Tamandua tetradactyla: one gene and its partners. The protein of the gene in region 4 interacts with the protein of the main gene of each other region in a pairwise test. Links are inferred from orthologs where the notes say so. Each region holds a gene or a part of one and is shown on either strand. Other genes may lie near its edges. The genes, in order: DPYSL2, NEFM, MYT1L and TNIK.

Evidence for each region.
Region 1: the proteins of TNIK (region 4) and DPYSL2 interact in a two-hybrid assay, tested with the Homo sapiens proteins (2 studies listed by BioGRID and IntAct). The link is inferred for Tamandua tetradactyla from reciprocal best matches to the Homo sapiens genes TNIK and DPYSL2.
Region 2: the proteins of TNIK (region 4) and NEFM interact in a two-hybrid assay, tested with the Homo sapiens proteins (2 studies listed by BioGRID and IntAct). The link is inferred for Tamandua tetradactyla from reciprocal best matches to the Homo sapiens genes TNIK and NEFM.
Region 3: the proteins of TNIK (region 4) and MYT1L interact in a two-hybrid assay, tested with the Homo sapiens proteins (2 studies listed by IntAct). The link is inferred for Tamandua tetradactyla from reciprocal best matches to the Homo sapiens genes TNIK and MYT1L.

The regions. Positions count from the first base shown.
Region 1 is NC_135329.1:27,475,766-27,483,818, reverse strand, and holds the start of DPYSL2 (dihydropyrimidinase-related protein 2), read right to left. Parts: upstream 3,078-8,053; 5' UTR 2,948-3,077; coding exon 2,594-2,947; intron 1-2,593.
Region 2 is NC_135329.1:25,784,819-25,792,271, reverse strand, and holds the start of NEFM (neurofilament medium polypeptide), read right to left. Parts: upstream 3,270-7,453; coding exon 2,190-3,269; intron 1,457-2,189; coding exon 1,332-1,456; intron 70-1,331; coding exon 1-69. UniProt on the Homo sapiens protein: Neurofilaments usually contain three intermediate filament proteins: NEFL, NEFM, and NEFH which are involved in the maintenance of neuronal caliber.
Region 3 is NC_135329.1:46,579,816-46,587,119, forward strand, and holds the start of MYT1L (myelin transcription factor 1-like protein), read right to left. Parts: upstream 3,059-7,304; 5' UTR 2,984-3,058; intron 1-2,983. UniProt on the Homo sapiens protein: Transcription factor that plays a key role in neuronal differentiation by specifically repressing expression of non-neuronal genes during neuron differentiation.
Region 4 is NC_135331.1:68,894,788-68,902,293, forward strand, and holds the start of TNIK (TRAF2 and NCK-interacting protein kinase), read right to left. Parts: upstream 3,235-7,506; 5' UTR 3,103-3,234; coding exon 3,046-3,102; intron 1-3,045. UniProt on the Homo sapiens protein: Serine/threonine kinase that acts as an essential activator of the Wnt signaling pathway. Recruited to promoters of Wnt target genes and required to activate their expression. May act by phosphorylating TCF4/TCF7L2.

The DNA of each region.
Region 1 (8,053 bases), on a different chromosome or scaffold from region 4:
GACGGGCAAAGCTTCTTCTGAGCAGATATTAGTGACACCTGTAAACCCAGATTCAGGGGAGGAGGGAGATTATTAGTCAGGGGCCCCATATTCCCCACTCTAGCTTTCTCCCACTTCTCTCTGTACCAGGCCTTCTGATAGGAATGCACTGAATCATGGATGGCCATCTCATTAACTGAAAGCTAAGTAATAATTAGTCAATTCCATCAAAATGGTGGGCCCAACTGCGCTTTTGGAAATTAATATAGTTATACACATATACACAACTGCACACCAAATAACTTTTCTTTCTTATAAAGATATGAAATATTGAAACACTGTAATCACTGGTCCAAATAAGTGCTCTTAGTTGTGAGTGAAAAAAGTCCTATGAGAATGGTCCTGAGCTTATAAAGCAAGATTGAAAATTAAAATTCAGGGAGAGCTGCAGAAGGACCAAGCCAGAATCACCCTCTGTTACAAAATATCCAGGCAACAGAAGCAAGTATGGGTTTGCAAAGGCTAAAATTACCTTGGTTTTGATCAGATATTATCTCTTCAAATACTCCTCTCCCTGTGCCTTAGGTTTACGATTCAAAATTTCTATTTAATTTAGAGAGTGTTCAAACAAGTAGATCTAATGAGCAAACATCTAAGCTTCTAAATGGACAGGAAAAGATGTGTTCTTTAACCCAGTGAAATTTTGTCTTTCAAACTTGTGTTTTATTTCACAGCCAACATTGTAGGGTCAGCCATCCTCAATATTCCTCCATCTGCCATATTTTTAAATGATCTCTTCCTTATTCTCCAAGATATTCTTTGGCTCCCTCTAGGATATTGGATTTACCGACACAAGTTGATGTGCATAAGGATGCTCATACAACCATGATGCTGTATGACCTTGGCCCTTACCCAATGCATTCACATATGGGAGTATTTCACACACAGTTTTCAGTATATGTTACATTATTGGAAACTTCTACTTTAATTGTATAGTTACTTGGAACAGAGTTTTGGATTTATGTTTATCTGGTTGATACACAGTGAGGCATGGATATGAGATCCTTCCCTATTTGAGTAAATCAGAGGACGGGGCAAGGAATAAAGTAAGTGATTAATTGCCCCACCTTTTAAAAAATGAGAGCAAATGCTTTATCTCTCCTAGAATTGGAGATAATCCCAAATAAATGAAAAAGTGCAAAATGCCATGCCATATCAAGAAACAGTATCATCCTTAGGGCCAATATCACCAACTCTTAATTGTTCTCTAATGCTTTCACTGTAAGCATACAATCTGAGTGCCAAACAAATGCTTGTGGAACTCCTTAGTGAATATGCAGAGGCCACTCCCAACTACTCTAGAAGCCCCTCCAGGAGAAGAAACTAACTTGAACTTTTTATAGCTGACCTTCCTTCTGCCCCACAAGACAAGGTATTCAATAAATAATCATTCATTGATTGAGTTCTCATCTTCACCAAAAGCTAGATAGAACCAATGGGCATGGGAGAGAAACAACAAACAAGTTTTAAAATATTTTAAACAGTAAAGCATCAATTAAGAAATTAAGGCTGTGAAAAAAATTGCACAATTATGAAGGTCACCCCAATAAAGAAAAAACTGTGGTGTGAGAAGACTGCTGCATTTACAATGCACACTGCGCATATCTGTCGGACAGCGATAGGTATTTCCCAAAATCAAGATTTACCAAATTGGCCTTCTTTGTTTCCCCATTAACACCGTATAGGGTATTCTCTTCGACAATTTATTAGAAATGTAAGTCTCTCCCTCTTTTCTTTTCTTTTTTAATCCTTTGACATAATCCACTTAGTCCCTATCCCCAAAGAACCTCCCAAATCGCGGCATGGGGAGAGCTCTGGGAAGCCCTTGTCGAGATACTTAGAGGAACTCTGTTCTCCAGAGACGCTATTTAGAAGCGTCTCGGTATCCTCGGGTGATTCCACATCCTTCCTCGCTCTTCTCATGCTGCGAACAGGAGTTTAGGGTGATGAGAGTCTCCCAGGCGGGCCAGGGAGGCGCTGGCCATGGTCCTGGACGCGAGCTCAGAAGGCTCCCGAGAAGGTGGGGCAGGAGAAAGCAGGGCGGGGTGGGGAGCGGCCTTCTGAGTGCCGGCCCCTCCCGACCTCGGGGGAGCCCGCAGGCCTTCATGCGAAACCCCTCCACTGCCCGCTCCGAGCTGCAGCAAAAAAGGGTGGGGCACCAGCCACAGCTGCAATCCGAAGCCGCCCGGGAGGATTTAAGAATAGAACCGCGACCCCTCCCCAACCCCACCCCACAACGCGATCCCAAGCCGGGGATCGGCTGGTCCTGTACCCCTCAAACACCATCTCCCAGGCCCAGATGGATGCGGGCAGCCTTTGTGGGCGGAGAGCCGCCCACCGCTGAGCCGGAGCGTCCCCGCACCCTGGGTGGCGAAGGGGCGGGGTAGGGTGGGGTGTGTGTGCAGATGCGGGGAGGCCACACTAGAGGTGGGGGGAGGGGGGCATGAAGGGGGCACGCTGGGATTCTCGGATCTCCGCCGAGCTGGAAGGGGACGAAGGAAGGGAGGCCCCACCGCGCCCCGTCCTCCCTCCCCTCCCCACCCCCCATACCAACCTGGTCGTAGATGTTCTGCAGGGCTTCCTTGCCCGAGGCCCGCCGGATCTCCACCTTGCGGCCCGATTCAACAGATGGCTCCCCCGCGGCGCGCCGGCCCTGCCGGGAGTACGGCGGCTGCGAGTCCGGGCCCAGGTGGGCGACGTCCCGCTGCTGAGCCACCACCTGCCCTGAGCCCCGGCCCACCGACAGCGAGTCGAAGTCGATGGTCTTGTTCTCCGAGGACCCTTCCACCGGGCAGAACATGCCGCAGAATTTCTGCCGGGGCTTGGGGCTGCCCGACCCCAGGTTTTTAAAAAAGGCAGGGACCTCTTCGTCCTCTGCCTGCTTCCCGGATTGCTTTCTCTCGGCCATGGCGCGGGGGCTCGTGGGTGGATGCTCTCCTCCAGTCCGTCCGTCCGTCCGTCTGCCGGTCCCTAAATCTCCCCCTCTCTGTACAAAAACCCCCTGCTTGCTACCGAGGCTGTCGCTTTCTGCCTACCGCAAGGTGCACAGAAAGGAAGGAGGGCTTCCGCGCGGGCGTCCCACCCCTCACAGTCCCTCCCCCTGACCCCGCTTTCTCCCCCTCCCCGCCCACGCCCCCCGCAGCCTCGCGAGCTCCCGCGAGCCGCGGAGTTGGGCCCGGGAGGCGGCCGCTGCGGCAGCGGGTGCCAGAGGCTGCTGGTTCCGGGCAGCGGCGGCGGGAGGAGAGGTGCGAGCGGGGCGGGGCGCGGGGCCCGGGGCCCGGGAGGAGGGGGGCGGGGAGGGCAGCGCCGCCGAGAGCCCCGCGCTCCGGAAGTGAAGCGGCCGGACCACCGGCTAATGGATGCGGAGCCGAGGGCCCGTGACCGCTCTCGGCCGCCGGGGTGAGTCGGGAGGCAGGGCACGTGGAGGCGAGGACCCGAGGGGGCGGCCCCTGGGTCCCCACACTTCTCTCCCCCACCTGCCCGGCAACGCGGGGGTGGGCCGGGGGCGAGTGCACGCGGAAGGTAGGGCTCCCTCTCCATCAGCCGGGGTGTGAGCTGATGGATGTGGAAAGAGGAACAAACTGGGAGGCTCCAGGACATCCGGGGGAGGGGGCGGCGCTGGGAGGGGGAAGAGGTGGCAGCGCGGAGAGGAGACGTCCATCCGAGGCTCGGGGAACCAGAGCCTCGGTCTACCCGTGGGCCTTGGTGGGTCTGACGCGAGAAGGTTCTCGCTTGGTGCATCCACAGTGGTAGGGGCCGCACAACATGGCGGGGACAAATGCCGAGGGGCGTAGCAGAGGGGAGTATAATGACTGTATGAAGTCTGTGCGAGTACGGCAGAGAGCGCAGTCTGCAAATTCGCGCGCAGCGATTTGTAAAGAGAGAGAAGGTGCCGAGCCGCTGTGTGCCCGAGGGAGCCATGTGCCATATCTATGCCCTTGCGCCAAGAAGGGCTAAGAAGAGTGCCTTTCTTTGGCATCTTCCACCTGTACCAAAGCGGGAACAAATGCACCTCAAAGCCCACTCCTTAAATCCTCAGCCCCCTTCCGCGCCCCCGGCACCCGCCTCGACTCCCCCCGCCCCTGTTGCGCACTGCGCCACGCCGCGGGGTTCTCAGGTTGCCAGGCGCCGCCTTGAGTGCTCGCGCCCGCGTCCACTGAGCGGTGGGGAATGGGGGCGTGAGAGAATGCCTTGAATTGTGTACGGTCAAGCGTGGGGAGGGCGTGCAGACACGAATTTGGAAGTGCGGATGTTCCAACAACGGCCCCCAGGTTGGTGAGCCTCCAACGGGCATTTTGATTTGGGCCAGTAACAAGGCCTCCGCGGGCTCTTCACTGCTTACTCGCCATCCATCCTAGCCTCTGGTCGCGTGCAACCCCGCCCCTCTTTCCACAGTGGCAAATCTTGCAGAAATGGTACCCTATCCTTTGGCGGCTCGGGAGGGAGAACTGGGCATGCTCAGTAATCAGGGTGGGTTTAGGCTAAAAGAAGCGGTTTAGTACACGCCCTTTGTGCCAGGCAGGAGCCCAGGCTGGGTCCCATTGATAATCCTTCCTTGCCTCTGGAACGATAGAATACCGATTCCCCACCTCCGTTGTGAATGACGGTTTGGTGAATAGGATTAAATTTGGAGGGCATCCAGTCACAGTTTGAAGAGGAGCCCACTATGACGTTGGGTAAGAGACTCTGAATGAGAAGGAGTGAGTGAGGAAGAAGAATAGACCTGTGGAGGAAGGAGTGAGAAAACCGCAGGCAAGCATTTTGGACTTAGCATGGAATATGCTTTGCATGTGCTTTCACATGAATCATGGTTTCCTACTTACAGCACCCCTGGGAGGTGAGTGGGACCAGTGAATCCTGACCATATCCCAGGTTAAGAGACTGAAATTTAGAGAGGTGGAGGGACTTTACCCATGGTTAATACCCAGTTAAATGGTACAGCAGTTGCATTGAGGGTTTTCCACCTGAAAGTCTAGTTCATTTCCTCATTCTTGAACTATGTGAGAAAATATAAGGCTTTAAAAATTTTCCCATAGCCAGATATTTCCATCCGTGGCCCTATTATTTATCAATAGCGTTTTTTTTTCACTAGCCATCTTTCCATGTGAGGGTCACACTGCAGGTAGGGATTGCCTTTGGGAGGAGGAGCCATTTCAAGGTAGTACAATCTCAGCCTTTTAGTTATTACTTAGACCTGATGGATATCTCTTCCTGGGCATTCAATGACTTTTTTACATCCAGAGTCTTCTCTGAATATTCCAGTGGAGGAGGATGTTCTCCCCATGTCTTTGAACGGGAAAGTGAGGCATGGAAAAGAGAGGTCAGAGAGGCTCAGAGAGTTAGGGTCAGGGTGTCTTCACTACCTCCCAGAAGTACTCAAGATATATGCCTGGTGCAGGAACAGCAGCAGCGAAAGCTACAGGTTGACATTTGTGGCATAAGGACCCTGCACAGATTGATGGAGATTTCATGCCAAGGAATGATGGTTTTAGCACCTTCGCACATACTCCACTGTAGAAACTGGTAGGCATTAGGAACTCTTTGTTTTTTATTTCCTCATTCTCCAAGACAAGCATGATTGATGTGCTTCTTACCTTTTTCTTTTTTTATTCAAATGACCCATTTAAGTTCAAGTGCTAGGAGTGCTCCTAGTGTTGTGCTAGTAATGTACCAGTCATAGCAAAAGAAACACCTAGTTATGCATTTGCAAAACCTGACCATACATAGCAAAAGAGAATCCATTCATAATTCCAAGTTTAACTTCTTTAATGCTGAGATTTTTTCCCTGTTATTTCTATTTCGTATGATTGTTAAATGTTTGAACAGTTCCTTACTGGGTATTTTTTTAATCAAAGAAATCAAGCAATTCAATATCTGTTGCAGACAGTTGTCATCCTCTTTAATAAGTGTATTAAACAGTCTTCATCATTGGAAATTTTTGAGCCATAAAAATACATTGTAATTCTTTATATGAAACAGGCAGTTTGACTAGAGCTAAGACTGAGATGCACCATCATACAAAGTTGCATGACACCTTCCTGTGCAAGAAGCAGAATAAATAAGCTTCTTGATTCGCAGAACATTCTGGAACACCTGAACGGTTATCCAACTACATCAACTGATTTTATTGTTAATGTGGGAAAGATCTTGAATCTTTTCCATAACTGGAGCTCAGACAGTAATAGGCATGTCTGGTGAGAGCATCTGGTGGGGAAGCAGATTGCAGGAGGGTCCCCAGAAAAAAGACTCACTATTAGCAAAGAAGGGGTCTGATAGAGTGGGCTAGATAGAAGTTCAATGTGAGGCAGATCCCTGGTCAACCCCTACTAGCATCCTAAACTAGACTGTGCCTCAGTACAGAAGATGTTTCACCGCTGAGTAGAAAGAGGTGAAGCATCAGAGACCCGGAGGCATTGGTGAAAGCACCTGTTCAAGTATATCAGCGATCAAAGAAGCATCTGCATCACTACATGTCTGCCAGCATCAGTGAGAGAAACCACAGCAATGGGACTGCGGAGCCACAGGAAGGGACACTGTTATAAGTGAGATACAATCCACCCATCTTGGGTCAGTTCTAGAGACATAACAGGAAGTACTGAGTTTTTGTTTGTTGGTTTGCCACTGGGCAAGTAAGAGTTATTGGTCCAGAAGACTTTGAGACAGCTTTTAGAGTGACCCAACGTGGGACCCATTCATGGGTGGGTTATAAATGTGGGAGCTCATTCTGGATTTTTTTAAATCCTAAAGCTTTAATAAATATTTGGGACAATGGCATTGGTACTGTTAGGGGACTCGTGCAGGATAATGAGTCTGGATGCTCAGAAATCACTGCTGGTTATGGGGACACCAGTGGACTGTGATGAAGCTTAGATTCAGGGCACTGTCAAGTCTCTGGGCAGGTATAGACTGCTTGGGAAAATATTCAGGCGGCAGGATAATGCCAGTGCTGTCTTGTTAGAGCTTAAGAAAGATGTTGATAGCTCAGTGAACAGGCCAGTAAGATTGTCAACGAATGGCAGGTACCACAGGCAGAAAAGAAAAGGTGGCTGATGGGATGTGTGTGTGGCTCCGTGATGGACCTCACACATGTAGTGCAGGCAGACAATCCGTCCATAAATGTGGGGGAGTGTTGGGAGGCATTTAAACTAGTGTTTGGAAGCCTGGAGAGCCGCAGGACCTCATAGGTTAAATATCTGAAGACCTATCAGGAGGAAGGAGAAAAAGCTCCACCTACGTGCTACAGTTAGAAACCTTGCTCCGAAGAGCTGTGGAAAAACGTACGATTACTAGAAATGTTGCACATCAGGTCCATTTGGAACAAGTCATGGCTGGGGCTAGCATTAGTGAAATACTTTGGTGTCGGCTTAGGGAGCTGAAAGATTAGGGACCATCCCCCAGTTTCCTTGAGTCAGTGAAAGTGATACAGGAAGAAGAGGAGGAAGAGGCCTCTTCTGAAAATGAGTACCTTGAGGATCCAGTTGATGGGGATGGATTTGGCCATCAGGATGATGAGGCAGACAACTGAGGACAGCTTGGAGCAGGACCCACAGCAAGTGGGCCTAGGGACAGTCCCTTTATCAGGCTGAGGCCTTCTCATTGTTTCCTTCTTTTAATGTACTGGATGGAAATCCAAGGCATTTAAGTCAAGTCTTGCTAAGAAAAAAATATCTGAGCGCTTCTTGAACCCTATGTAAATTATTAATAACAAAAGATAAGATTCCACATATTAGACAGTAAGCCTAAAGGAATCTGAAGTACCAGTACTTCACATTTACTTTAAATACATCAAATACACCAAAATTTATACCACAGACAAAATACTTGACTTGAGAAAATACATCTTCTGTGAAATAGTTTAGTATTTATTTATCATCTATTTTCCTTTCTCAAATCAGCAGAGGCTTTCTGAGTACCTGGCATTGTGAGTCATAAACCAACCCAACACGTGCCTGCTCCCAGTGAGTTTACAGTCTGGTTAAGGGGAGGCTTAGACATGTGAAACGTTAAATAGCTA
Region 2 (7,453 bases), on a different chromosome or scaffold from region 4:
GTATAGAGTGGCCCAGTGATGCTTCCTGCAAATGTGCTAAATCTTGTCTCTTCACCCTCCAGAAGCTTTCTGAGGAGAGAAGAAAAGACAAGACAGAATTAAAATCTCATTGGACGTCCTGAGTTTCACTATGGGTAATGCAGCTGCCACCTTTGAATAAATGGAATCGCGTAAATAAAATATTCCATTAAGTTAGTTTAATTCCTGTATTACCAACATTTTGTGTCATATTCAGTGGCAGTGACAGATCCTCCTTGGCCATCAACCAGTTGCTTGCTGCAGTAATGTACCACACCCAGCTCTAAGTCATAACCTTGCAGCATTCCATTTGGTGCAACATGAGTATGCTAAAAAAGTTCCCTAGTGCCCAGAAACAACTTAGCAACCTCCATGAGCATTTGTACTTTCAGTATGTATACTAAATTTTTTTTAGCAAATATAATTATTCAAAAAAAATTTTAAATACTAAGCAGATTCCAGGACTTAAACCATATCAGTTTAAAGCTATGCACTAATATGTGTGTATCAAGTCATAAATTGGTCTGTCATTTCAATCATACAGTGCCAATTTAATATAATTATTCTACTTTCCTGAAAAGATAGCTCTGTGAGTGTAATTTATTCTGTAATATTATAATTGCCTTATTGAGAGTATAAAAACCATTTAATCAAGGGTTTCTCCCCTTTGAACTTAGTGAATAGGAAATTTACATTAGTAGACATGTTATTTTCTCTTTTTTCTATACATTTATCTGTACCCACATACATATGGGATATAGCTAGATATATCATCTATACCGTACAGCCTAATATATTATATAATGCCTCTAAATTACATATACCTATAAAATAAATATATTTATATTGCAATGTATCAATCTATATTCTCAGCCAGATGATGGCAATAGTAAGCTATAACAGAGAAAAAGAGAAATAGAGTGCCCTGGTATTTGTCCTTGACACAATAATAAAGTTGAAAAGCTGAAGCCACCAGGTGAAATATTGAACATTAAATCTCTGTTTATGCTTCAAATATGTAGAAAACATTCCACTAAAATACAAAATTTAAAGATAACGGTGAAATTCTTCAGCCCCCCTACATGTAATTCCGAACACTTTATTTCAACTAATGTTTATTCTTTTAAAGTTGTGTGTAAACTGTGTAAAACCACATTTGCAATTCTTTAGAAAAAAGTTCTTAATTAAGAAAACCAGTTGCTGCTTTAAGCCCCCCGCAACCAGCCTGTTTTAAGTAGTGAAGGTTCTATCTCCCGCAGCCTCTGCAGTGCGGTTGGTTGGTATTGCGGCCACGTCCGCAGTGAGGACCGTACCTGTATGCAGCGATCTCGATATCCAGAGCCATCTTGACATTGAGGAGATCCTGATATTCCCGCAAATGACGAGCCATTTCCCACTTTGTGCCCCGAAGCTCATTTTCCAACTGCTGGATGGTATCCTGAAACAGGTACAGGGAGTCTCTGTAGACCCATACTTCCAAATCGCAGCTTCCTTTCACTCCTTCCTCTCGTTCACCCCTCTCCCTCGCCCCCCTCTAGCGTTGCAAATCTTTTGGTTATCGCCCTACAGGTTTATTATTATTATTATTATTTAAATCTGAGGAATTCTCAGATTTTAATAATTCTCACACAAAGAAACAAGATTAATAAGACTTCCTGGACTAACCCATGCCTTGAGACCACTCAAACTAGAATGTCTCAACAAAAAAACATGCCATGCATGGGGAAACCCACGATTGACACTGCTCTTCCCATCTGAGCTCTTTGGACCGACGCCAGTTTTGAGAGTTCTTGTGATCAAAACTCTGAAAGCAGAGAATACGTGCGTTTCTGCAAAAGCTATCCTAAAGTTGCTTGCTTTATCGACTACTTTAAACGCCCAAAACTAAAAATTCCTAGAAAAAAAAAAAGAAGCATTTATTTATTTATTTATTTATTTATTTAAGGTCAGGACTCTTAACTAAGAGGGTTTGATTGGATGGAGGAGGAATGTGGTCGGGATTCGGACGGGCGAGGACACCTCGCAGTAACTAACTTGGGTTTGTGCGCGCGCGCTCACAGGCGAGTGGCCACCAGGGAGCGCGACGGAGAGGGCGATGGGCACGCGCGCGAATGTCGGGGGCGCGCGGCGCTGGCGCTGGCGCAGGCTGGCCACGCAGCCGCGGTTCTTACCTGGTAGCTGCTGAGGTCGTGGTTGTGGCGCTCCTCGATGTCGCTGAGCTGCCGCTCTAGGGATTCCTTCGTGCCGCGCACCGATTCCAGCTCGATACTCTTGGACTGCAGCTGGCGCCGGTACTCGGCGATCTCCTCTTTGGCAGATCGGATGGCCTCCTTGTTATGTTCAGCCGCCTCGGTGAGCTTGGCGTAGCGACACTTAAACCACTCTTCGGCCTGGTGCATGTTTTGGTCGGAGTGGCACTCGAGCTGGGAGCGGATCTCCTTCAGCGCCGACGAGATGTCTGTCTTCAGGTAGTCTTTGCGCTCCACGCTGATGTGCGACGCCTGGATCTGGGCCAGCAGGTCTGCCACCTCCTCCTCGTGATTGCTCCGCAGGAAGGCCACTTCGTCCTGCAGCGACTGTACCTTCTTGTCCAGCTCCACCTTCACCATCGACGCCTCCTCTATGTCTTTGCGCAGCGCGCGGATAGCGGCTTCGGTGTCGTCGCGCAGCCGGGCCTCCTCCTCGAAGCGCTCCTTGAGCCGGTGGATGTCCTCCTCCAGGTGGTCTGAGTCCAGCTGAACCTGTGCCTTCTCGTGGTTCACAAGCTCGAGCGTGGCGCGCAGCTCGCGGATCTCCTGATCGTACGCGTCTCCCAGCTGGGCGTGCGAAGCCTGCTTCTGCCGCAGGGCCTGGATCTCCGCCTCGATCTCCTTGTTCTGTTGCTCCAGGTAGTGCACCTTCTCGATGTAGCCCGCGAAGCGGTCGTTCAACCCCTGCAGCTGCTCCTTCTCGTTGGAGCGGGACAGCTTGAAGTCGCCGCCGGGCCCGGAGCCGCCGTTGAGCAGAGATGAGGACTGGCTAAAGTCGAGACTGCTCTCGGCCGAGCTGAGCATGGCCGAGCTGTAGGCGAGGCGCGGGGCAAGCGCGCTGCGCTTGTAGGACGAGGACACCGTGCTGGGCGAGCCTCGGGACCACGACTGCGAGCGGAAGCCGCTGGACGGGGAGCCGCTAACGCGGCTGAAGCTTGAGCGGGTCTCCGTTACCCGCCGGTAGGCGGACGGGTTGCCCAGCGCGTCCAACGTGTAGCTCATCTTGGTGGCCTTGGGGTGCGTGGCTGTCACAGCGTTCTGCCGGCCTAGCTGCAGCCCATTTATAGCCGCGGCGGCTGGTCCCGGGCCAGGGCCCCGCCCCGTGGAGGCGGCGGCCGAGGAGGCGGAGACTGCGGGCAACCCGGGCTGGGGTGTGGGGGTGGGGGTAGGGGGGCGGCTTAGCGGTGATTCAGCGCCGGCTCCACGTGGGCTGGTGCCGCAACGGACCCGGGACTTTGCTGTCCTGGACCGGTCCCTCCCCCATAGCTCCCCTTTCAGTTGCAGACCACTTGTCGCCCCGCAATCTCCTTCCCTCCTTTTCTTTTCACCTTCGGATAGCATTTTATTCTCTCGGTGCGAACATCCATCCAACGCCCTTCCTTTGTCTAGTCATCTCTCCCGCCTTTCAGGCGGCTCTTCCCCAGAAACCCTGGTCCCCTTGTTCTTTAGCTCTCTCCACTCTTATCCTCACGGCTTTTCCTTCTTTCTGTTCTTTCTCCATTACTTTTTTCCTTTGCCCATCTTCTGTGCTTAATCACTTCTCTCCTTTGAGACTTCTCTCTCTCACTTCTAGCCTTTCTTAGTCCCACTCACCCTTCAGCCCCTTCCTCCTGGACCTTTTGCTTCTTATTCTTTCCTCCACCCCTTTTCCTTTCTCCCCCTCCCCCTCCTTTTCTTTTCTCCCTCCCCCACCCTCTTCTTCACAAGCCTCCCTCCCCTTCCCCCAATCTTTTTATTAAAGCGGTAGGAGTAAGCGCAGGGGAGTTGGGCCTAGAAAAGGGGCGAGGGGTACAGACTTTGAGGAACGGTCGGCCGAAGGGTTAGGGAAGGGGACAAAGAGAATGGGCTAGGGTAATTATTTCTATAAAAAGTAGGATATGGCGATACATTCTGCTTAACGTGTGGGGGACGTCTGCAGCTTCCGCAGGGGCAGAAGGTAAGGCGCTCGGGCTCTCTACGGCTCAGGCAGCACCAAGGACAGCTCCCAGACTGGGGAGCCCTGAGATTTAGCCGTCCCCGGGGGCTTGACACCCAGAATCGCCTGTTTGGTTGGCAGGGTTTCCCCTCCTTCTCTGCGAGTGAATACAGTTAAAGACTGTAGTGGCTCTGTTTGCGAGAGCCAGGCTGGGAGAGCACGCTAAGTAAGACTTCTCTGCAATGCAGAGTTGACAAAATGAACAGATGCGGATTTTGAAAACAACCGAAATTCGTTAGTTAGAAATAATAACCTTGTAGCCTACTTTGAGTTGCCTAACATACGATGAATGCAGAAAATTGTGATATAGGGCCTCAAATTTGAAGGTCAAGCATTCCTTGAAAAGGGGATTTAAAATCTGCTAGGATAAAAAGTCCAGGGTAATATTAATATAGTTCATGCTTCGTTTGATCATAAACAACTGCCTTGCCATCTTTCAGTTCAGCACTCACTATACCTAACTGTGAAGGCTGAAAAGGCATCTGAATTAATTAAAAAGTTGCCAAAAAGATTCAGCAAACCTTGAATAAAACCAGGTATTTTCCCTCTTTTGAATGTAATTTAGTTCCCCATTTAGAGGTTAATAACTGATTTGGAATAGATTTCCCATGTCTTTAAACATGTTTATTTCAATAAAAAATATCTACACAGACTTCCTGCTGTCTGATGCACTGCTAACAGGTAAACTGTCTCTTTATTTTGGGTGGTGCTTTGGGGATAATTGGAAGTGAAAAGTTCATAATACTGCCAAGCAAAAAATAAAATGCAGGACTAAGGACAGTGTTTGTTGGGAGCATAGGCACAATTGACTGCATGTGAAATGCTTTCTGTGGCCGAGAAGAAACCACAGCTTGTGAAAAGTAGAGACTCCTGACTTCACTACCTTCTTTTCACTGCAGGCTTTGTCTGGTCCCTGTTTCATTAAATGACAAGTTGATATTAATCAGTAAGTAATCCTAACAGGCCTGGATATCTGGTGAAAGTTTTTGTTTTTGTGTTTAATCAGATATCTTGGCCCATTTATATTTTGAAATAGAAAGAGTTAATTTAAGGAGCTACTTTTGGTTCCTTAATGTGAAGCTGCAGCATTGTAGCCTGTGTGTGGGGAAGAATGTTCCAGTTTGCTTAGTGGCAGGTTACTCCGGCAAGGAGATGACCCCATGTCTCCTGTGGGGAGAGACAGATGACACAGTAAGAGGATTGATTTATGAATATGGTAGAAAAACAGGATTTTCTAGTTTCATATGGATACAAAAAGGAAAGAGAAAGAAAAAAGTCTTTTGTAAAGCACTGTCCATCACAGGGTTGGACTCAGCAGGAGGTCATTTAATTAAGGCCAGATGCTGACTGTGCAGTAATCGGATAGTTGAAAAAGGAGATATAAATTATTGTACCTTAGTTACTTGTTACTTATGTTAAGAACATAAAAACCCTTGGCAATGTCGTGCTGCTCATGCACTGAAAACACTTCTGCAGTGAGAGCACATGGTTAACCGACAGGCTTATTCTGTTAATTTTCTTCAGGGCTTTAAAAATGGGATGACGCTGCAGATAAGCATTTACAAGGAAACACACGTCTAACTTCACAATTAGTCTGTTTTGCCTGTATCTAAACTAACTCAGAAGTTGTTAAGCCTCCAACTGGTCCCAGAAGGAGGTAAGCATTGCATACAAACAAAATAATAGCTAATTATTCAGGCTAAATCTATTGCTTATAGCTTAAAGTTGTAACTTGAACAGAAATTAGTACTTTAGTATTGTTCAGTCAGGGCACAACAGCATAATGCAGAATAACAGTCATTTTATTAAGGAAAAAACTTCTAGTGGCATGAAAAGGATTGATCCAACTCCACACTTAGCAAAATATTTAATTTTATATTAGACTCACTTCCACCACTCTTCCTGAAGGTGACTTGAAGGTTATACCCATCAATAAATTTAGTGTAAAAACTTTTTAAAAAAAGCTTTCACAGACGTTCTTCCTCTTTTCTCCCACATTTATGAACACTTCTTACCCTAATATTTTTTATAGAAAGAAATGTAAGGTTTAGCATTTTTGCTACCCTAATGTCATTAAGATTATGGAATCTTCTGAGTATATTAACAAGACAGAAAATAAACACGGGATTTCTATCTTAATTTACAACATTGTATTGATGGAGTTGGTTGGCTATGATACTTTTGAAATTTATTCTAAGTAGGGAAGTTACATGTGCAACTTAGATTGGAGCCATTTAAAATGAAATCATCTCTGGATTGTTTCATAAGCTACAGTCTGTTTTGAATCACTTTATAGAGAAATACACAGCATGCTCCAATCTATGTGTTTCTTCACACATAGAAGCAGGTAAAGTACAATATTAACCTTGTAGTTTGTGAGTTTATTTTGGGTCTCATTGAATAATAATGGGAAAGTACTTTTTGCATAAGAGGTTTATTCATTAGGTCAAGATAAAAGATGGAAAAATAAGGAGTTGTGCACTTTCTTCCCTATTCTCCTGCTTCCACAAATTTCTTTTTAATGAATTTTTTTTTCTGATACATGTAAATGCAAAGAGGATGAGATGTGAGAACCGGGCAACAAGCAAGATGTTCCAATGGAAGAAATCACCGTAAAACTGGTAGGATGCCTCTGTCCAAGATTAACTGATCTGTACTTTCTTCTAGCCTCCTGTGATATATTGAACCTGGTCCTTTTGCTTGGATCTGATTCTGGAACTCATGATGAATAACCATTTATAAATTGTAATTTGTTAATTATTTAAAGGACTGTTGATATAGGAAGCTAGAGATTCAGTCTGCTGGAGTAGGAATGTAAGGAAAAAAACCTGTAATACTTATTTCTACTTTAGCCTTTTATGTCATACTTTAGAAGCAGCTTTTGAGTTTTGGTCTTTTTGATTTTAAATGCTGAAAGCAAAATAAAAATATCTTAAGGGAGAAAGGCTATTTTTTTCTCAGGAAAATTGGGACGTGCATGTCCCTATTGTCTTTAAACACAGTGTCCTTTTTTTCTGACATTAAACTACCAAAATGGTATTTGTTTCCCTTGCCGAATGATTTATTAATTGAACATTGCCTTATTTTTCTTTCAGTGGCTTTTCATGGAAAGTTAAGTGAAGTTTTGAAAAAATTGAAAGCATTTTATATCTATATATTTTTTCCAAATGAAAACTTAATCAGTTTTTAAATTCTATATCTGGAAATTTCA
Region 3 (7,304 bases), on a different chromosome or scaffold from region 4:
TTGAGAGAGAGGAATGAGGTGGGAGTCTTACACTACCTGACTTTAAAGCATATTACAAAGCTACAATGGTCAAAACAGCATGCTACTGGTATAAAGATAGATATTATGACCAATGGAATTGAATTGATTGTTCAGAAATAGATTCTTTCATTTATGGGCAGTTGATCTTTGATAAGGTAGTTGAGCCAATTCAACTGGGAGAGAAGAGCCTCTTCAATAAATGGTGTTCGTAGAATTGGATATCCATATCCAAAAGAATATGTAAAAACCTTTTACAGAAATCAACTCAAAATGGATTAAAACCTAAACATTAGAACTAAGAACATAAAATTATTAGAAGAAAATGTAAGGAAATATCTTAAGGATCTTGTGATGAAAAGTAGCTTCCTAGACCTTACACCCAAAGCACAAGCAATGAAAGACAAAATAGATACATGTAGAATGGGATCTCTTTAAAATTAAACACTTTATGCATAAAAGAACTTTTCCAGAAAAGTAAAAAGGCAGCCTACACAATGCAAGACAATATTTGGAAATCACATATCAATTCAAGGTTTACTATCCAGAATATATAAAGAGATCATATAACTTAACAACAAAAATACGAACAGCTTAATTAATAAATGGGAAGACAACACAGACACTTTTCAGAAGAGGAATTACAAATGGCTCAAAAACATATGAAAAGATGCTCAACCTCACTGGCTATTAGGGAAATGCAAAATAAAACCATAATGAAATATCATCTCACATGCACTAGAATGGCCATTATCAAAAAATCAGAAAACTACAAGTGCTGAAGAAGATGTGGAGAAAGAGGCACACTTATTCACTGTTGGTGAGAATGTAAAATGGTACAAACTCTCTGGAAGACAGTTTGGCAATTCCTTAGAAAGCTAAGTATAGAATTGCCATATGATTCAGCAATCTCATTAGTAGGCATATGTTTGGAGGAACTGAAGGCAAGGACACAAATGGACATTTGCACATTGGTGTTTATATCAGCATTATTCATGATTGTTCAGAGCTGGAAACAAACAGCCCAAATGTCCATCAACAGATGAGTGGCTAAGCAAACTGTGGTATATACATATGATGGACTATTATGAAGCTGTAAGGCAAGATAAGGTCTAGAATCATACAACAACATGGATAAACCTCGAGGACATTATGCTGAGCAAAATTAGCTAGAAACAAATGGACAGATACACTATAGTTTCACTAATATGAAATAACATTAATGAGTGAAGTTTGAGAGTTCAAGTTGAGAAAACAAATTATCAGGAGATAGAAAAAGGGTAGAGATTGGGCACTAGATACTGAAGGAGTATAGGATATTCCACAGGACTGATTAGGAAGATTCAGAAATGGATACCATTCTACTATCTGATGGTAGTACAATATTGTAAGTACACTGATTGAAGCTGAGTTTGATTATGGTTGAAGGAGGTAGGCTGGGGGACCCGGAATGACACCAGAAGGAAAGATGAGGATAAAGACTAGGATAGTATTACTTAACCATGTCTAGAGAGGATAATTATGGTGGGCAAATGTACAAATATAAGGATGTTTTTGCATGAGGAAGGACAGAGGAATGTCAACATTACAAGGGGTTGAAAATTGGATGGTACATGGGAAGATATAATCAATGCAAATGAGGGTCTTTAGTTAACAGTAACATTTAATGTGCTTCCACTGAATGTAACAAAGGTAATATGCCAAAGCCAAGTGTCAGTAAATGGGGGATATGGGATTCTTTGCTGAAGAAATGGAAATGTCTTCATATAGATTGTGGTATGAAGGCATGCCTATGTGATTAACCTTGAACCATTGATCTTTCGCTTTGGCTGGATTATATGATGTGTAAATAAAATTGTTTAAAAATGAAAAAAAAACTACAAATGCTGGAGAGGATGTGGAGAAGTAGGCATTCTTATTCACTATTTCTGGGAACGTAGAATGGTGCAGCTATTTTGGAAGGCAGTTTTGCGGTTCTTTAGGAAGCTAAGTATAGAATTTCCATATGATCCTGCAATCCCATTGCAAGGTATATACTCAGAAGAACTGAAAGCAAGGACACAAACACACATTTGCACACCAATGTTTATAGCGGCATTATTCATGCTTGCCAATGGATGGAAACAGCTCAAATATCCATCACCTGACAAGTGGACAAATTGTTATACGTACATATGTGGAATATTATGCAGCTGTAAGACAGAATAAGGTTATGATCCATGCAATAATATGGATGAAACTTGAGGACATTATGTTGAACTAAATAAGCTAGAAACAAAACGACAAATTCTGTTTGGTCTTATTAAAATGAACTAACTATAATGAGGAAACTCTGAGATTTAAATTGAAGAGCATAGGTTATCAAGAGATAAAAAGAGAGCAGAGATTTGCAATCGGTGCTTAAAGAGTTCAGAATGTCCAATAAGGTTATTTGCAAATGTTCAGAAATTGATAGCATAATACTGTGTGATGGTGGTTCAATACTGTAAGTGTAATTAGCAAGGCTGAGTGTGAGTATGGTTGAAACAGGAAGGCTAGGGTTATATATATCACCAAAAGGAAAGCTAGAGAATGAAAACTGGGACTGTATAGTTTAGCAAAACCTAGTGTTAACAATAATGTTGATTAAATGTACAAGTATAAGAAATTTTTTACATAAGGGAGAACAAATGAATATCACAATTAAAACATATGGAAAATGGGATGGCATTTTGTTTGCTAAAGCTGCCAGAATGCAATATATCAGAAATGGAGTGGCTTTTAAAAAGGGAATTTATTAATTTAAGTTACAAGGTTACAGTTCTAAGGCTATAAAATGTCTAAACTAAGGCATCCAGGAAAAGATAACTCGACTTAAAAAGGGCTGATGGGTCCAGAACACCTCTGTAAGCCAGGAAGGCACATGGCTGATGTCTGCTGGGGTCCCTAGCTTTTGGTTTCAAACAGCCTCCCCAGGGGCATTTACTTTCAGGGGCATCTCTACTCATCTGGGTCTTGTATTGGCTCTGTTGTCTCTCTTGGCTCAGAAGATTTTTCCAAAATGGTTCCCTCTTAAAGGGCTCCAGTAAGCAACCCCACCTCAAGAGTGGAGACACATCTCCATGGAAACCACCTAGTCAGAAGGTTCCACCCACAATTGGGTGGATCACATCTCCATGGAAACAACTTAATCAAAAAGCCCTCACCCAACAATTTTCAACAAGGGTTAAATTTTCAACATGGCTTTTCTGGGTTACGCAACAGTTTCAAACTGGCATAGATGTTGTATGGAAAAATACAATTAATGCAAACTAAGGTCTATAGCTAACTAAAATTGTAATACTGAGGACGTTATGGGCTTTATTGTACACTAGTTTGCCTGTATCTCTGTGATCTAATTCATAAGACTTTATGTTGAGAGGCACTGGTGATGGACAGGCTCAGAAGAGTCTTAAATCCTTCCTATGTTTTCTCCAATTTCTTAAGGGTAGAGATGAATGATACATTTAGCAGTTGGTAGAATCTCTACATTGTAGTCCTAATAAATGGATTAACAAAATAGTAAATCAGAAGCATTATGGCATTACTGGGGAAATCGTGCATTTTAGTGTCCAGACAAAGTCTTGAAGAAACAGACCTGAAGATGCTTATCTTATTTCCTTTCATTCATTGGTTTGGCCAATACAGAAGACAGTGGGGTCTTGAAGAATGACAGGGACCTTAACTGAGGACTGTCTTCTGAATGTAATCTCTGTAGTCAAGCAAACAAACACAGCTCCAAACACAAGAAAATGGATTTTATTCCAATAAGAGGGTATCAATAAGAGTGGCTTTCTTTCTTATCTTAGGAACAAAAGTATATCCTCATGGCTTTGTACCAGATTAAATTAACTCTTCATGTTTGTAGACAACTTGATCACCTATCCATCTGATAGGACATGGGACTGAACCACTTTAGCAATAGCATAATGCTCGAAGGACGTAGAGAGTGGGGCTTAGAATTCATTCTAGATTTCTTGGTAAGATATAAGTGTACCAGAGACTGGGAGGTGAATTCAATGGAAATGCAGTCACATGACACCTTATTAAGTTATTGAGGTCTAATTTTCTGGGGAATGTCTAGGTTTTGTCTACAAAGAGAAGGGCAAGATGCTTTACCTGTATTCCCTACAAAATAGGGCTTAAGGCATTGGATGAGGTGGTAGTTCTTAATTATTAAAGGAATACAGAATGGCTGCTACCTAGCAAAGAAGGAAAGGAGAAATATAAATGGATGAAGGGGGTTCTTTGGGACATCTTTTAATGATGCTATGTTCAGTGGTAAAAGCTAAAGGAATTCTAAACCTGTCCTATGCAGACTGAACACTCAGGACTCATCTCTCTCAGTAAAGACATTTTGGGTCATACTGTAATATAAATAACTCTGACTAGCTGGAGTGGAGGCTGAAGGCAAAGATAATAGGGACTTACTAGAAGAGTGGGAGTGTTATAAACATCAACTATGACAATTATAGAAACAAGAAATATATTTTCTCTCTATTTTTTCTTCCTTGCTGGGTTAAATGAATGTTTATATAGTTTAATTAATTTTCCACTTTCTTCTACATTTTCCCCATAATATTATTACATTGGTAGTCTAGAGTTTAAAGCATATTGACCTAGAACGATGACAGAACTAGAGGAGGGGTGAAGAGAACCTAGAAGTGCTACATTTGGAGCTGGGCACAATGTGTTCAGGTTATTACATTTTGAGGAGAGTGAGGGCAAATTTGTGCATGAGATAAACACGCTAAGATACACCAGAGTAGTTTTTAAGGATGTATGTTGATGTAGGACAGATAAAGAATAGAACATAGTGGACATTTATTCTGCTTTGATCCTTTGTTGGGGAATTCCATCATAAATTTTGGTAGGTGGCAGGGGAGAACTCCCTGGTAGCAGCAGTTTCTGCATCAAGACTGAGGTCCTAGAATGAGGCTTGTAGCTTGTGCATAGAGGATGCAATGATGATATACCGACTGAACTTTTCCAATTGTGTGATGTGGGACATTGATAACAGCTGTAAAGTCCTTTTGCCTTGTTCTTCACTTCTGGGGATTCTGTGAACTCCCAATATCTTTGAAATCAATTGCCTTCTCTCCTTAAATGACCCAATTTGATTCTTCACTTGTACCTAAGAATTATGACAGATAAAAACATGTTAATATAGAACACGAAGACATGTGCTCACAAACAGGCATCATTGAAGGCTTGTTTCTGCAAGATTTGAGCCATGCTAATGGTGTATAAGTGTTTCTCCGGTCTACCTCTCATCATGGCTTTTTTGACATTGTAAGCAACATCTTTTGCCTGTCTTCTTCCCTTTGCAATATCCTCTTTCACTCATTAAAACACTCTCTGAGCCATCCATGTGGAGGTGACCCTTTTCCATGTTAAACACTCTATTATTCTAGCTCAAGAAATATTTTCTTTTCTGCCTACACCATGCACCTACAACTAAATTGTTCTGGATTCTAAATCATTCAGGAATCAAATGAGTAAATAGACTAATAAAAATGAGCTCTTCTTGGCACTGTTAACTTACCTGTCCTTTTATAATATTGAGGTGGAAGAAACTTTTCAAAGAATAACATCTTAATAATGTGTTTTAAATGTGTGGCCTCATTAATTTGTAATAATGGGCAAGTCCTGCTTTATCTTTCAATACACTACAAAGCAGGAATTCTGTTTCTTAATTATGGACTGAAAATGCCATTGTCTTCTATTGCGTTCTACTCTTGAGATCCTACATAGGAGCCATCCAAGCAGGATAAGGGTCAGTAATGCTGGCATCATGTGGGAGCTTGTTAGCAATGCAGAGTTTCAGGCTGCATCCCAGAGATATTGAATCAGATTTGCATTTTAATATAATTCATGGGTGATTTACATGCACATTGAAGTTTAAGAAAAATTGGTCTAGATCAATGTTTTCCAATAGAAACATAATGTGGACTTCCGGAGAAGATGGCGGCTTAGTAAGATGCACGGGTCTTAGTTCCTCCTCCAGAAAAGCAACTAAAGAAACAGAAACAATACGAAACAGCTCCCAGAGTCACGACAGAGACCAAAAAGACAGCGTACCCCATTCTGGAACAGCTGAACGGGCAGGGAGAATCTGCTGCGGTGAGATACCCGAGGGGCGCGCGTTTTCCCGGCCGGGGCTGCTGGCGACTGGGGTCCCCTCCACGCACGTGGCTCCCCGGTCTGACTGGGAACGTTGGATAGCGGGGCCCTCCCGTCACGCTTGGCGTTTCGGGCCAGCTGGGCAATTAGGACCGGCACTCTCCCAAGCTGCAGCGGCCAGCGACCCCCGCCTCCACGCGCGATTTCCCGGGCTGACTGCCGTGCAGACAGACGAGTGCCACGAGCGCCACCTACTGGGCAGGAAAAGAAAAACAGAGCCCAGAGATTTCACAGAAAAAGCTTTCAACCAGCTGGGTCCCACACCCAGGGAAATCTGATCAAATGCCCAGACACCAGCAGAAAATAATGGATGACGCTCGGAAAATTGAAGATATGGCCCAGTCAAAGGAACAAACCAATAGTTCAAAGGAGATACAGGAGCTGAGACAACTAATGCTGAATATATGAACAGAAATGGAAAAACTCTTCAAAAACCAAATCAATAAATTGAGGGAGGACATGAAGAAGACATGGGCTGAACAAAAAGAAGAAATAGAAAATCTGAAAAAACAAATCACAGAACTTATGGAAGTGAAGGACAAAGAAGAAAAAATGGAAAAAACAATGGATACTTACAATGGTAGATCTAAAGAGACAGAAGCTACAATTAGTGAACTGGAGGATGGAACATCTGAATTCCAAAAAGAAACAGAAACTATAGGGAAAAGAATGGAAAAACTTGAGCAGGGGATCAGGGAACTGAATGACAATATGAAGCGCACAAATATACGTGTTGTGGGTGTCCCAGAAGGAGAAGAGAAGGGAAAAGGAGGAGAAAAACTAATGGAAGAAATTATCACTGAAAATTTCCCAACCCTTATGAAAGACCTAAATTTGCAGATCCAAGAAGTGCAGCGCACCCCAAAGAGAATAGACCCAAATAGGCGTTCTCCAAGACACTTACTAGTTAGAATGTCAGAGGTCAAAGAGAAAGAGAGGATCTTGAAAGCAGCAAGAGAAAAACAATCTGTCACATACAAGGGAAACCCAATAAGACTATGTGTAGATTTCTCAGCAGAAACCATGGAAGCTAGAAGACAGTGGGATGATATATTTAAATTACTAAAAGAGAAAAACTGCCAACC
Region 4 (7,506 bases):
TGGGGAAGAAACTTTACCTCTCTGGCGTTCCCTTGTGTTAAATAAAAGGAGTGACTGAATGCTCTACATTCTCTTTCAGCTTTGAATCTATGAAAACACTCTCCCTGCTTCCCCCAAGACTTAGTTTATCTTTGTGAGCTCTAAAAATCAGGACTAAGTAAACCGGATTCAGATGATCTATTTTCTAACTAAAGAAGATCCTGCTTCATCTCACTTTTTAAAACCATGCAAACCTTGCATAATTTAAATGATAAGTGCTGTCACTGGTTGCCCTGGTTTAAATTATGCATTGTTACTATTTAGGGAAAAATTAGACTGGGTCCAGCTCTAGGATCACTGGCTGAGAACAATAAACCCCCAAAATGAGGATAAAGCCTTCTCCAGACATGAGCTGGTTTTAATGCATTGAGCCTAGGGTTTACAAAAAGAGCATTGATTGTGTACATTAGAGAGCCACAGAAACAGCAAGGGATTGGTAAGGCTGCAGCAAATTCTCCCAGAAGCCACTGACCTTGGCTGCATTTCAGGGGTCAGGCATTCCCCAGGAGGTTTCTGGCACAGAGGCCTTTCTGAGATCTTGGGGAACAAATTCATTTAGCTGAGCCCACCTCTCCTAATTTGGAAAGACAGCGACGATCTGCCCTCTGATTTGGGGAGATTACCTGTGTGGCCTCTAAACCCTCTCCTGGCTTGTATGCCCCCACGAGACTTGTGGGTTGCCCCCAGCACCCGGGGATGTGACTGTCTCCCATCTCCATTGAAGTTCACCACCAGCCAGCACTTCTCAATCTCTGGTGCTACTGCCCTCCCCCTTTCCAGTTTTGCACTAAACTGGCACTGCAGGCAGGCCACAAAGAGCCATACCAATGAATCGTGGAAAGATATCTTTGCAAAATACAAATTTCACACACACAGGTATTATTGGAAAAATACCTTTGCAAAATGCAAATTTCACAAGCGCAGGTATCCCAAGTGTGAGCCGCACACCCCACTGGCTGGGTGAACCCGCTGCTGGTAGCCTCCAGGCTCTGTGCTTGGGTGTCTCAGAAAATCTTCCCGAGGAAAAATCCCAGGAGGACACATCTCAGCCCAACTTAAAATCACAGCGGAGTGCTTTGCATTAGAGGAGCGGTGTCTGAGATTCAGCCTCCTAAACATCACCAACCTTGCCGGTAGCTCAGCTCCTGTCCCCAGGAACTGTTCCCCCGCCCCCAAGTCTGGGCCACCCATCCACCTGATTAACCGCGGCCACAGCAATGCCTGGGGCAGAAAGTAGGGCGAATGAACACACACAGCCCCTAAAGCAGGAAACCACAGACTTGGCCAAAGCACCCACCCTGTTAAGAAACCTCCGTCTTTCCCTCCCCACTCCCCAGCCCCCAGTCCCCGCAGCTGCCCAGGGGACAGCGGGTTCTGAACGTGGCATTTCAGCACCAGAGAAACAGCTTACTGTAATGGCACATGAATGAGCTTTTGCTGCCCAACTATTAGAACAGCCAGTTTCAAATGGCATCTCTGTTCCCTCTCAATTCCTTGACTGCCTTGCTGAAACCTCACCTCATGGACTGAAGAATTTAGAGTGGGAGAAGGAAGTTAGAAAAAAAGGGGGGGGGGGGCTGGAGAGAGTGGGATTAATGAGGCTAAAGAAAAAAATAAAACCGCTTTGATCAGAGTGGGAACTCTTTAAAATATTCGTGGAGACCGAAGCAAAGTCAGAACTCCGGAGTCAGGTAAACGGCCCAAGATTTAGCATCAGTCTGAACGGCATATTCCTTGCGAGGGCATGTGTGAACTTCAGTGTGTCACCCACCCTGCGTGTTTGTGCTGAGAGCCCCTCATCCATTCGGTCTCATTGACCCTCCAATGCACCAAGTACATGCAGTGGCTTTTTTTTTTTGGTTCAGAAGAGGAAGCCATCGTCCATAAATCGGTGCCCAATCCTTCTCCTCACTCTTTTCTCGGCAGGCAGCATCTAATTAAAATGGCAAGAAAGCTCTGCCCCCTTCCCCTGAGGACCGTACTGGGATTGGGAGTGGGGGGTGGGGAAGCGTAGAGGCTGCACTGGGATTCCTGGTTTTCTTATCTCAAAACAACAGCAAAATGGATTCTGTACCAGTGATGTCTTAGTCAATACAATGGAACGGCATCTCAGGCAATTCGCGCCGAGGGAAAGGCAAACCAGTGGGGCCGGGGCCGTGGGGGGGAAGGTGTAGGGGGGGCGCTACAAAGAACTGGCCCCAGACACAAGGAAAACAGACATTCCCGGGAGTTCCGGCGCGATGGGAGGTGGGGGTGGTAGCAGAAAAAGACCTGCCGTTCACCTGCTTGAGTGCAGCCATCAAGCTAAATTGTCACAGCCACAAAGTCAGAAAGCACGGGCGGGGCTGAGTGAAAAGCAGACAGAAAGGTGAGTGGCAGAATGACATTTCCCGGAGCGCGGAAAGGGTGCCGGGGCTCAGGAGGCAGACGGGGAGGGGAGGCAGGGGCCAGCTGCAAGACCAGCCTAGCAATCGCTGGCCCCTTAGGGCAGCAGGTTCGTCTTCGTGGGGACAGTCATGCACACAATGTCATCTTGCAGGTAGCTGCAAAACGCGAGGAGCAGGGGCCTTTTATTCACGCCGTTGATCATTCTTTTTGCAGAAAGGGATAGTCGGGTCTCGCGCCTTGGCACAAGACGGCTGCCCTGGGCGTGTACGCGCGCGCGTGCACACACACACACACACACACACACACACACACACACACACACACACACCAGTAAGTCTTTCATTTTAATGCTCTGACACTGGTCTAAGATGAAACTGGCATAAGGTCCACGCGCTCTCACAGAAGTCTGAGCCACAGCCAAAGGAGGACACGTACCGCACGGTCCCTGCCACCGCGACTCATCCCGGAGCACCTTAGCAGTCTCCGGACCCAACCGACAATCCAAGTTCCCTGCCGGTTCCATTCCCTGCCTCTGCCCGTCAGCCCCAGCCCCCGCACCGAGCCCACTCACCCAGCCCGAAACCACTGGAAAGAAATCGGAAAACGCGTTCTGCTCACCCTCAGAGCCGAGAGATCAATTTCATCCAGGCTGCGAGCTGGGGAGTCGCTCGCCATGTCGACTTCCTCTCCGGAAAAATGGACCAAAACCACCTCAAAGCTTTTCCCTTGCAAATTCCACCTCGGTTCTACTTCACTCGCGTCCTCATGAGCGGGTCGCGCCAGAGGTCCCCGGGCCCAGCCTCCCCCGCCCACCCCGACCCCCCACAGCGTCGGATCCCGATCCTCGGCGAGCCTGTCCGCCGGGTCCGGGAGCGACCTGCGCCGATCTCCAAGCCCGGAGCCGCGGTGCGTGTGGGCTGAGCGCCCCGATCGGCTAAGGGCGCTAGGGCTGCGTGGGTGTATTTAAATGGGGCATGCTTCTTTGCTTGTGCGTGGATGGCGGCTGCATTGGCTGTTATAATGAGACACATCAACTCCTCCACTCAGCTTGGGGGTGGGGGTGGAGAACCACACCGAGCTGTCGATCACCGCTTCCTGGGAGGAGTAAAGGGGAGGAGGGGGAAGGACGCGGAGGAGGCGTGGTCTCGGAATGGGGCGAGGTCGCGCTTCCTGACCGGTCCTCCGCACCAGCACCGAGGGGGGAGGGGTGCACCCCTTCCGCCCAGGCTCTCGCGGGCGCGTCGGGCTGGATCCCAAAGGCTGATCCTGAACCCTGACGTGCTTATCATATTGACAAGGCTTTCTTCTTGTGTTCGATTCGTGCGCTGCAGCAAAATGGCCCGTGCCATCGCACACTGGGATTTCTCGGCGGGTCTCAAGATGCTCTGGCGTTGACAAAAGTCGGAGGCAGAAAGAGCAACGGCCTCCCTCCCCCATCATGAATTTGTGGGGCCGGAGTTACGCGGTGGGTGCAGCCGGTTCATATAAGGACTTGTGTGCAGGAAGAGGAGATCCGCCTCCAGCCTGCGAGCGAGTAGGGAGAGGAGCGCATACAGTGCGCCCAGCCCCATTTGGCAGTTTGCAGCGATTGTGGCTCGGGGCCTCCGGCGGTCTCCGGGATGTGGGATGGCCTGTCCCCCGCCGCTTCGGGGCAGGGGACGTTTGCCAGAAGCCGGAAACCCGGGAGATCGTAGCTCCGGCTTGGGCTCGCCACACCCGTGACCTGCCCCTGCCGCAGTTCCCCCACGGAAACGACCGAATTGAACCGAGAAGCTTGTGCTTAGGTTGTAGTTGCTTCTGTGCTCCAGGTAACTGTCCAAAGGCAGCACTGGCTGAGGCAGCGCACGCTGCCCCAAGATTCTGCATTTCTTTTTCAGCCAGCGTTTCCTCCGCTGACCTATCCGAACTAGTGGAGAAAGTTTGGCCGGAGGATAAAATGTTAGCAGGCAAGATGTACGCGTGAGAACAATTGCCCTTCACTCGCTTTCTCATTGCAAGGCCGAATGTTTACAGTGGTAATCCTGGCATTCTGTAATCGAGGGTGTGAAATCACTTCCCTCAAGCCCTTCCTCTCAGGCCTGGGCCACGCTCCATTAGATATTTAAGAAGAAAACGCTTTAAACTGAACTTTTTCCCCAAATACAGTAGTAACTTTGGAAATATTCTCTGCACCTCTGATAGGAAGAGAATTTCCTTCTGGCCAAGTGCACTGAGGACTTTGAAATCATGTGGTGTGCATTTCAGCTTCCTCCGAGTAAGGATCTTGACTGAATGAATGGAAGCCAAACCAGTTAGTTCAGCCTGACTGCCAGACATTAGGGGGCTTTTAAACAACATTGGTGTGTGCTGTACTGTTTTTGTTAATATTATCGTATTTATTCCTATACATTGTGGATCATTCAGTATGAAACTTGAAAGCTGCTCTAAAATCTCATAACAGTTTTGTTTGGGAGCTTTCTCTTTAAACATTATTTTCAAGCGTATTAACGTGTTATATTCAAAGCGCTTGTTGTGACCTCTCATTTTCTAACACAACCACACGGTTCAGTGCAGTAAGTAACATGCAGTAAGCCCCCAAGCTCTGCGAAATGACGTAAAAAGAAAAAGCTCATTTCTCATCTTCCTGTTCTTCCCTCCTATGTCCCCTTTTTTTTGTCCTTCATCTAGAAAATTAATGTATTGACTCATGTTGAAAGAAAATAAGGATCAGACATTGAGATCTATAAATAGAACTATTTTTAAACCTCCAACACAGGAAAAAATGGGGTAAAGATGTGGTTGCTTTGTTTGTTTTCCATAAAGCATCTTGATTTTGTTACCCAGATTTTATTCAAAATGTCACAAACGGATCGCTTCTTTAGGCATTAGTACGCTGTCCAGGCCATGAGTGTGCAATGATAACGGGCATCAAATTTCTATCCTTGGATTCAGAATTTGGTTAGGAAATTCTGCTTTCGGTGCAGTGGTGAGGTAGAGGGCGTCCTAGGGGCCTGAGAGGAGCTGAGAGGGGAGGAGGAGGCGGGGATACTGGCTGCAGACAATACCATACAAGGGGGATGATCACAATAGCGAAGGCACCGCCAGCTGTTAGGGTAAGATGAGGAGAAACTCTAAGCAGATGTGTTGCTAGAAGAAAAGTAAGGCTGGTGACTGTTAAAAAGACTGGAGAGGTAAGCAGAGGTCAGATGAGGCAGAGCTTTGCATGCTCAAATGAGGACCTTGAACTTTATCCTCCAGGTCAAGTGTGTATGAAATTTCAGCTACTCCAGTACAATCTTTGTAACTTATTGTCAGGTCTGTGTATACCTGTACTGTTATTATTGCTAAACTTTTTTTTAAATCAATACTTTACTTTTTTTCTTACATTAATTTAAAAGGAAACATAAATCACTATGGTACATGGAAAGCTAGCAACACTTGGTAAAAAATAGAAAGGAACAATTAAAATAAACATAATGGAAAATAAATGAATATTATTAAATTGAAGCTAGCTATCATCGCTTGCCCCGGGCTTTTAGGCTGAGGCCTGCTTTCACTTTGTTAAAAGAGAGATTAGTAAATGCCAGAAAAGGCATTCAAGACGTGAACCAAAGTACAATTTTCCTCTTTGGTGTAGTCTGGAAGATTGAGAGAATTTATACCATTTATGTACAATTTGAAAGCCTGCAGAAAAATACTACATGCTATTTTATGTCCATATAAATTTGTTGTAAACTATGAAAAGCATGGACACAGGCAGAAAGGAGACAGCTCAGCCTTAGCATAGTGAGAAGGGAAAAAGAAATGGGAAGGCACAAAGGATGCTTCAACAATATTTAATTTGTCTTAAAAAAGCAAAAAGACCTCAAGCAAATATGATAAATTGTTTGGAATTGTTAAATCGGGATGGTTGGTGATCAGATTTCATGGTATTGTTCTTTTTCTTTCTGTATATTTGAAAAATGTTTATATATTTTTAAATATTTATAAAAAAGAAAGAAAATCCCTAAGTGGGTAATGTTCTCGCTTTTAGGTTCAGTATTATTTAATGTCAAATCATGCACCACCTAAAATCACACTGGGGATCTGAAATACCGCTTGTGTACCTTCTAAAAGCATATTCCCTGCATCTTCTATAATAACAGAAATCCCTAGATATAACAAAAAAGGATATTTTAAAAAATTCATTATAGTTCTAGAAGACACAAAAATGCAGCCCCAGTAGTCCGGAAACTCAGAGGATTTCTTAGGTTACATAAAACAGGCAAGACTGGATTACCAATGGAGCCACAATCAAAAACCATCTGGGGCCGGACTAGAGTGAGAGCAGGGGCAGCTTCAAGCTTAGGGGCAATGGATCTAGGATTAGGCACATTTATTTGGGTGAGTGACCAATGAACTGCAGTAATTCATTCTCTGATTCATTCAGCAAATATACAGATTGCTCACTCTGTGCAAGATACAGTTCTAAGCTGTGAAGATAAAGCCTTTTGTTGGAAATTGTCTTAATTTCCTGGTTGCTATGACGTAGATGCATAGTGGGTTGGCTTAGTAATGGGAATTCACTGTCTCATGGTTTTGTAAACTGGAAGGCTTGCTTCCTCGTGGGATGGGTAGTTGTTCTGGCAGGTTGGCAATCTTGGGGTGCCTTGTCTTTCCCATCACATGACAGTGTCTCTTCTGAGGTCCATCTGATGCCTGCGTTTCATCTTCTGACTTCTAGCTCCTCCATTCTGGCGCTTCTCTGTGGTTTCTCTTTTAAAGACCCCCAGAAACAGGATGAAGACCCATCCTGATTCAGGTGGACACACCTCAACTAAAAATAGCATCTTCAAAAGTCCCATTTACAATGGGTTCACTGCCACAGGCATGGGATCAAGAACATGTTTTTTTTCTGGGGTACATAATTCAGCCTACCACAAAGATTGAATCATGCCCTCCACAAAAGACATGTTAATCCCATAGTCCTCTGGGTGTGAACTCATTTGCAAATAGCACCTTTGAAGATGTTACTGCTTGTTAAGGTGTTTCCTCATGTGTGAATAGGAACTCCGAAGATCCTACTTCAAGGCCAAATGGAATCAGAGTGGGCCTTAATCC